Nothobranchius furzeri: one gene and its partner. The protein of the gene in region 1 interacts with the protein of each later gene in a pairwise test. Links are inferred from orthologs where the notes say so. Each region holds a gene or a part of one and is shown on either strand. Other genes may lie near its edges.

Region 1 (3,652 bases):
TTCACATGACATAAACACTGTCAACACCATATCACACCCAGGTTTTGAAGCAGTTTAAGCCAGGGTAAAACAAATCACAACTCAAGTCGTAATAACTTGTTTAATTGACCATTATTTTCTTAGTTTGAGGCGTCATTAAACAAAGTCAAATTCTCGTAGAGAATCGTTGTCTCATGCAGAAAGCACAACAGTAAAACTTTAAAAATCCCATTTTCAGAAAACAATGTGTTGGTAAAAACTACACAGTAGTAAGCCAGTAGGGACTAAGAGAAAAAGCAAACTGACTTTAAAAGCTGGGCTTTGTTTCTCATAATTAATGAACAAATAATCACAATCAGTTTGTGTAACTAAAGTACACGATGCGATTCCAGTTCACATGAGAATATTTTCATTTTACAATCTACTGATGCATTCTAATCAGATTAAAGGTCATTTTCTTTAAACTTGATGTGATCAAGAGAGTTCATCTACTAAATGTGTACAATCTTATATAACAAAGTACATAATATCAAGAATGACCACAGGCAAGTTCAATATTGATGTGTTCTTTGTTTTTCTTACAATGTTTACTAAAAATGTCATCTAGAATTGCCATCATGAAAACAACCTAATGTCCCTAAATGTTCTGCATCGGATACTGAAGACACGCATGAAGCAAACACAGTAAACAGAAGAAATCTGAGAGAACAGCAATAAACTCAGGTTATTCTTATTTTTTTTAATGCACAGAGGTAATTTATACAAAAACGTTAATGGCACTGAGTAAAGTCAACGTCACCATGACGGAGTAATAAACAAAAAAGTACTGCGATCCTACAATCACTGCTTCAGGGACAATCAGACTACAGGTGGAGTGTTAATGAAAGACGCAAATCCAGCCGGCTCACCGGTGTGACGCTATTTTACATGCAGAGGCGAGCTCAAACATTCCCCAACGACAGCTGATCTTGTTTTCATAAACACTCGTCAAATTAAAACTCCGGTTTTGTGTCCAGAATTTAGACCAACTTCTTAATAAAGCTGCCAGTGTCTCGCCACCTCTCCAAAAAGTAAACCCATCTCCTCTCAGATATGTGGAAAATGGTCAAAGCAAATTTACTTAAAGCAAAAATCCAGAGTTTTTCCTCAGAGGGCACCATCTAGAGGTGGAAAAACGGTATTACACCTATGAGCCCTTTTCCCTGCTTCTGTGATCATGGCTGGAAGCAACGCCCCTCGTGTGTGAAAGTGCACCTCTGGCCGACAGACGTAGCTAAAACATTGTTTTACAATTAGGACGACGGTGGTAGAGGAGTTACGTGGCCGCCTCGTAACTGGAGGGTTGTGGGAACGAGTCCCACTCAGTCCGTCACAGTGGTTGTGTCCTTGAGCAAGACAAGTTACCTTGCCTGCTGGTGGTGGTTGTTAGGGACCAGTGGCACCTGTGTTTGGCAGCCTTGCTTCCGTCAGCCATTACAGCTGTGGCTATATTGTAGCTCATCACCACCAGGGGATGTCTAACACTACTGGCTAATGCTAATGCTGAGAAGTGCTCAATTCAAACTGCACGGGGCTCTATGGGATGGAGGCAATCTGAGCCCAAAAAAGAAAAGAAAAAAAAGTATTGCTAATTATATCACAGTACCAGGTAACACTACCACTTTTACTAATTTCTAAAAAATTATACATAATTCCTCGAAAGGGAGAAAACTCCAGATTGCTGCTTTAAAGTATCTTCATCATAAAGGTAGTGCTTGTAAAGTTCAAGAGCATTAAAAAAAGAGCAACACCACACTTTGGTAACAACTGACTGCTCAATCACTTCACTTGGCTGATTTCCAATCAATAAATATAAAGAAGATCAATAAACAAGTTCAACAAATACAAAAACACCTAAAGTGCATGTTCTTCTGTTTTCAGCAGTTACAGAGAATACGTTGCATGTTTAAAAGCATTCCTATGAATTACTAAACAGGCCAAACGCAATACAAAGCAATCAAGAGAGAATGAAAAAGTGTACAATCTGAACTGAAGCGGAGAGAGAAACTATTTCCTCTGCTTGTCTGAAGAGACCGCCGCGCTCCAGCGTGGATGCAGTTTGGGACGATCAGCTCCCTGAGGACTGGGATTTGGTAGCGCCCCTCCGTGGCTGACTCTCCTCTGTGCTTGGGTTAGCCGAAGCGGCACTGGCTGGGGCGGAGACGGCCGGAGCTGAGGAGGAGCTAACCCCATTGGAGGTGCTGACGGAGCTGTGCTGGATAGCCTCGTTCTGGGGGCTGCTGGGGATGGACATCTCCTCGCAGCTCTCATCTTTGTCGGAGACTGTAAAAACATCAAACAACAGCCGGCCGCGAGGCTTAAATATCCTTCCTTACATTTTATTTCAGCAGATAAAACCCAGAAGGCAATGGGGTAGCCGTGTCACACAAGCCTATTTGCATGTAAAACAGCTATCAGCGTGTAGAGGATGCAAACCATTTCATTAATCCCCATAATGCTACTTCTGCACCCCTTTCCTTTAATTAACGCTCCAATGTCAATTTAAACCCACATCATAAGGGGGCATTACATTCTGGGGCATGTGGCAGCGCTTCCCATCCCTAACTGCAGTCTCATTTGTTTTTTGTTACCTTGCCAACTACTGCAGCGACAGATGATTACAGCACCTGATTTTAATGATGCTCACACTGGAGAGTAGGGAAGACTTGGAGTCGAAATGCCACCAGCTGTTAGGCAGTTGCATTGAATTAATTGGATCCTGATGGGAAAAAAAAGACTCCACTCTCATGCTCCGTTTCATACAGGAATAAGGAGCACGATGATAATTAATATTGCTAATGATATAAAGTCGCTTGTTACTCCACTCTGTAATTAATGAGCAGGTCTTTGAGAATCTAAAATACAAATTCCATCGAAAGGGAGCAACGTCTGAACGGCTGTAGAGAAGTCTTCCTAAAAGGGTGTTAAGAAAAACGATAAAGCACACGTTGACTTCTGTTTCAGGTCAAAATCTAAATTAGCTTAGTGGTTTTGTTTCATGTTCAAGCGAGCATCATTGCTCCTAACAACACCAAGTGGCGGCCAGCTGATTTATCATAATACTCTGAAATTCCTGCTTCCCCGGGTGGGCAGAGCTTCTTTCCGCTCTCTCGCTTTCTGAAGCAGAGGCTCGCTGTAAACAGATGGACGGCTCGTGGTGCCAAGTGAAACTGTGTCCTGGCTTGTTGGTGGGGCAGTCTGGGCTATTTCCTTCCACCAGCCAGTTCCTGCGCCTGGGCAGGGGGATTACGGAGTCCGGAGGGCAGAGTGGCCGTACGGGAGTTGTAACTCTGAGAGACTTTTATGAAGTCTGTACATGAATGATCAGAGTCAAATAGTGCTTTACTAATTACACTGATATTTAAAGTGGCACCAAACCAGGGGATCCTTGTGCTTTTGGGGTCATTTCTGCAGTTGTTGAGGACTAAATGATTTTAGATTGTGGTGGGCTGCATGGTGGCGCAGTGGTTAGCACTGTTGCCTCGCAGCAAGAAGGTTGCAGGTTCAAAACTCGGCTGCGGTCTTTCTGCGTGCAGTTGTGTGTTCTCCCCATGCATGTGTGGGTTTCCTCCGGGTACTCCGGTTTCCCCCACAGATCACAACATGCCCTATAGGTTATAATTGTACGTTGCTT
Region 2 (3,752 bases), on another chromosome or scaffold:
TTAATGTGATGTTTAATAAATATGCTTATTTAACTAATAATTGCGGTTTTGGTCTGAGAAGCTCAAAAAGGGAACAGAATTAAGTAGAAATAACACTTTAGCTTCTTTTCAACACAGATATAAAATGATGGATTAATAATACAATCAGTCCTGCAGGAGAACAGAACAGAAGTTCATCATCTGCATATACGATTATCCTGTCATGTTTACAGGCTGCAGCCATGGCTGCAGCACGGAATCATTCCCGTTATTACTAGAAACACTCCCGTTAGTTAAACATCTACGTCTGTGTCCTGAGGGGTTAGCAGCAGCAGCTTCAGAGGGTCGCTAACATCACATCCTACCTTAATAAATAGGTTTTCTACAGCAGGTTAAACTCAACCGGCCTGCAGCTACTCTTCTTTCCACAGAACGGTTTGTGTGCATCAGTCACCTTAAAATCACCCCGGGACAAAAATCAAACCACTAACTATTGAAAACATCAGTGAAGTTTGGGTTTTTGTTTGGTTTCAGTGCGTCGGCGTCTGTCCTCTGTCCAGGACGTCCCAGCAGCTGGGAGGTGAAGGACGGAGACGTGGCTTTGTACGCTGCTTCCAGCAGCTGATCCACGTCTCCTCGTTCTTGGCGCAGGTGGAGAAAGTCTCACAGCATCACCATCATAGACACTGGATGTCGTCAAGCGTCAGGACGCCTCCGTCCAGAGGTGCTACTGTGGCGGTAGATAACGAGGAGGAGGTGGAGGAGGAGGAGGTGAGGCTGTGGAGCTGTAAGGTGCTCTCCTGGATGTGCTGGATGAAAAGCTTCCTCTCGTCTTCGGGCGTTTGGCCGTTCTGGGCCCGGACGATGCAGGTGGGCCGGTGCAGGTTCAGCATGTAGACCAGCTGCTGCTTCTGCTGCTTCAGCTCCTCGATCTGAGCTTTAAGATCCGCGTTGACACTCTCCAGCTTCTCCGACTCCTGAGGAGGACAGGGACAATGGAGGAGTTAATGTTGTTCTTCATGAGCTGGGTTTCAGAGTGAAAGGGAACAAAAGTCTCTTACCTTCTGCAGACCTTCCGTCTTCTCTTTCTTCTTGTTGCGACACTTTGCTGCAGCAATCTTGTTTCTTTCTCTCCTCCTCTTCCTCCTCTCGTGTTCGTCATGAGTCAACTAAAAGCCAAAGAGACAGACGCCGTTACTTCTCCTGATCCCCGTCTGACAAACAGACCAGGTAACCTCAGAGTTCGCTCCGTCTCACCTCTCTCTTGAGCCTGGCGGAGGGCCGCTCGTAGGCCCGGTCCGAGCTGGAGCCGTCTGAGCTGACGTCGGCGCTCAGCCCGTTGGACAGACGCTTGGTCTGGATGGCCAGGCGCAGCTCCTCCTTCACGATGGGTGTGAAATTAGTGAAGTCGTCCAGGGTGAGCGTCCCCGGTGGGGACAGGCAGGGCACCAGAGCAGAGCAGCTGATGTCGGCCAGAGAAGGACCAGGATGCTGCAGCATCATTCTAATTAAAAATAAAAAACAATGACTAAATCAAATATGCAACAAGTTTCACATCAAATAATCCAAGAAGCTCCTAAAGCTGCTGAAGGAGCAGCTCCTGCTCTCTTTCGGCTGAGTAACTCCTCAGGAACAAACTCAACTAATGAGAAGATCAGCTGTTCCTGAACAGCTCTGCTGACAGCCAAACATCTAACCTAGAGGAGCCCTGAACTTAATAGAATAAAGCAGGAGTTACCGTTGACCCAAACACAGCAGAAGGATTTATGATCAGGTTTGAATCTCAGCAGGAGCAACATCGTGAAAGCTGCACGTGCAGCTCTATTTATTTATTAAGTTCGACTCTTTTGTGTTTTTCTCAACACTTAAATCTGAACCATTACATCAAGGAATTATTTCATCTTCATAAGAAAACGGCTCACGTTTACAGTTAATCTGCATTATAACATCTTAAAGTCATTTTATGCGTTTTGTTTACTATAAACTGTTTGAATCAACTTTAAAAGTTCAAACAAGTTCGGTCAAAGTTCAAATCTAATAAGTTGAATCAATAAAAACTTCCGTTTATTTCTTAAATAAATCAAATCCTGATGGTTTCATTCAGCCCACCGGGAAGCGCTCCGCTCCTCACCGGGACATCCCCGTTCCCCCGAAACACCCCCTCCCTCCGGAACCCCCCGCCTACCTGTTGGTTCTGGATCGGACGGTCCGGACGGGTTGAGGAAGTGAACGCCTGCAGGAGCCTCGCTCGTCGCCGCTGCTCTGAGTTGCGTTTGACCCGAATCGGTTGCATCACCGGCTTTTATGATCCGGGCTGGGGGCGGGGCCTGTGACGTGGCGGGAGGAGCCAAGAGGAGCAGCTCTGAGCTGGATGACGTAATTCTATTTATAAATGTGATTGTGTGATGATGCAACCAGGCAACCACGGGCTGATCTGCTACAACACAACCCCTCCTCCTCTTCCTCTCCTTCAGTTCATCTCTCCATCCTTCCTTTAGACCAAACACCCCCCCCCCCACCCCCCACCCCCCCCCACACACACACACTTCCTCTGAGTAAGTTCCTAGAAAGCAGCAGAAATCACAGATGATTAAAAGTTCTGAGCGCCGTGTCTTCCCGAGTGCTCTCACTGATCTGACACAGACACAGTTTCCCAATCCCAACATTCCACATTAGGACGTGAAGTGATTCGCTCTGGCTGAATGACACCGGATGGGTTTTATTTATTGAGGTTACACCTCCATCAGGGCCTGGAGAAGCTAATGGTGGGAGGAAGAAGGATCAGCTTATAGATAAGTTTTTTTGTGTGTCTCAGCTGTGTGTGTGTGTGTGTGTGTGTGTGTGTGTGTGTGTGTGTGTGTGTGTGTTTTTGTAGCTTAATTCTAACTAATCTGATCCTGTTTAGTCGCCCGTTGAGAGATTCCAAAGGTCAGAGGTCACCTGAAAACAGTGAAGTTCGAAATGATTCAGGGAATAATGGCCATGATGCTGTTTGTGCTTTTATTTTGAAACTTTAAATGTTTGATCCTGGTTGAAATGCTTTTTTCATTGAAACCTTTAATAAAACCATTAAGCAGCAGGCAAATAACATGGAAACCCATTGCCTTACAGGGAAAATTGCTCCGTTAGACCACAGGTTGCGTTGTTTTACCGGCAGGATTAAAGGGATTTAAGTCGGATCACTTCCTGAAAAACCTCACAGATCTGGTCTGATTGTACAAAATATGTTTATATTTGGAAAAAACTTCTAAATGTTTATCTCTGGATCTCTTAACCTTATTTACAGACCATTTATTTTGGTTATTTTAAGAGAACATTTCCTGTAAAAGATTTATAAGGATCTCAAAAATAACTACGAAAAATAAAATTAAACGGAATTAAAATCTGGGATATTTGGAGGCTTAATACTGCTAATTTTCAAAATAAAAGCTCCTGTGGACAACTGCATATAAACTAATATTTCTGGAATTTTTAAAAATATTTAATGGACCGGTACCGAGCCTCGGCCCAGTTGTAGAGGGCTGCTGCTCTAGGGACTGGACGTCAGTCATGTGATCAACATTGTTTTATTATTTTAGTAATTGTCTTGTGTTTATTATATTGTAATAACAATATAATAATAATAATATAACATTATATATTACAAATACATCAAAGTGAAACTTTTCTGTGACCCGTTTCATCACTTCTCGCCAGCTCCTCAATCGCCCCTCCCTCCCTTCCTGCTGAAACTTTCCCAGTAATAAAGAAACTTCCAGTTTCAGCTGCTGGTA

The links.
Region 2: the proteins of atf2 (region 1) and atf3 interact in binary tests that used the Homo sapiens proteins (3 or more experiments, as listed by UniProt). The link is inferred for Nothobranchius furzeri from reciprocal best matches to the Homo sapiens genes ATF2 and ATF3.

What each region holds. Positions count from the first base shown.
Region 1 is NC_091754.1:21,204,648-21,208,299, forward strand, and holds part of atf2 (cyclic AMP-dependent transcription factor ATF-2), read right to left. Parts: intron 2,302-3,652; coding exon 2,087-2,301; 3' UTR 1-2,086. UniProt on the Homo sapiens protein: Transcriptional activator which regulates the transcription of various genes, including those involved in anti-apoptosis, cell growth, and DNA damage response.
Region 2 is NC_091742.1:15,053,940-15,057,691, forward strand, and holds the start of atf3 (cyclic AMP-dependent transcription factor ATF-3), read right to left. Parts: upstream 2,269-3,752; 5' UTR 2,165-2,268; intron 1,484-2,164; 5' UTR 1,483-1,483; coding exon 1,237-1,482; intron 1,149-1,236; coding exon 1,041-1,148; intron 957-1,040; coding exon 657-956; 3' UTR 1-656.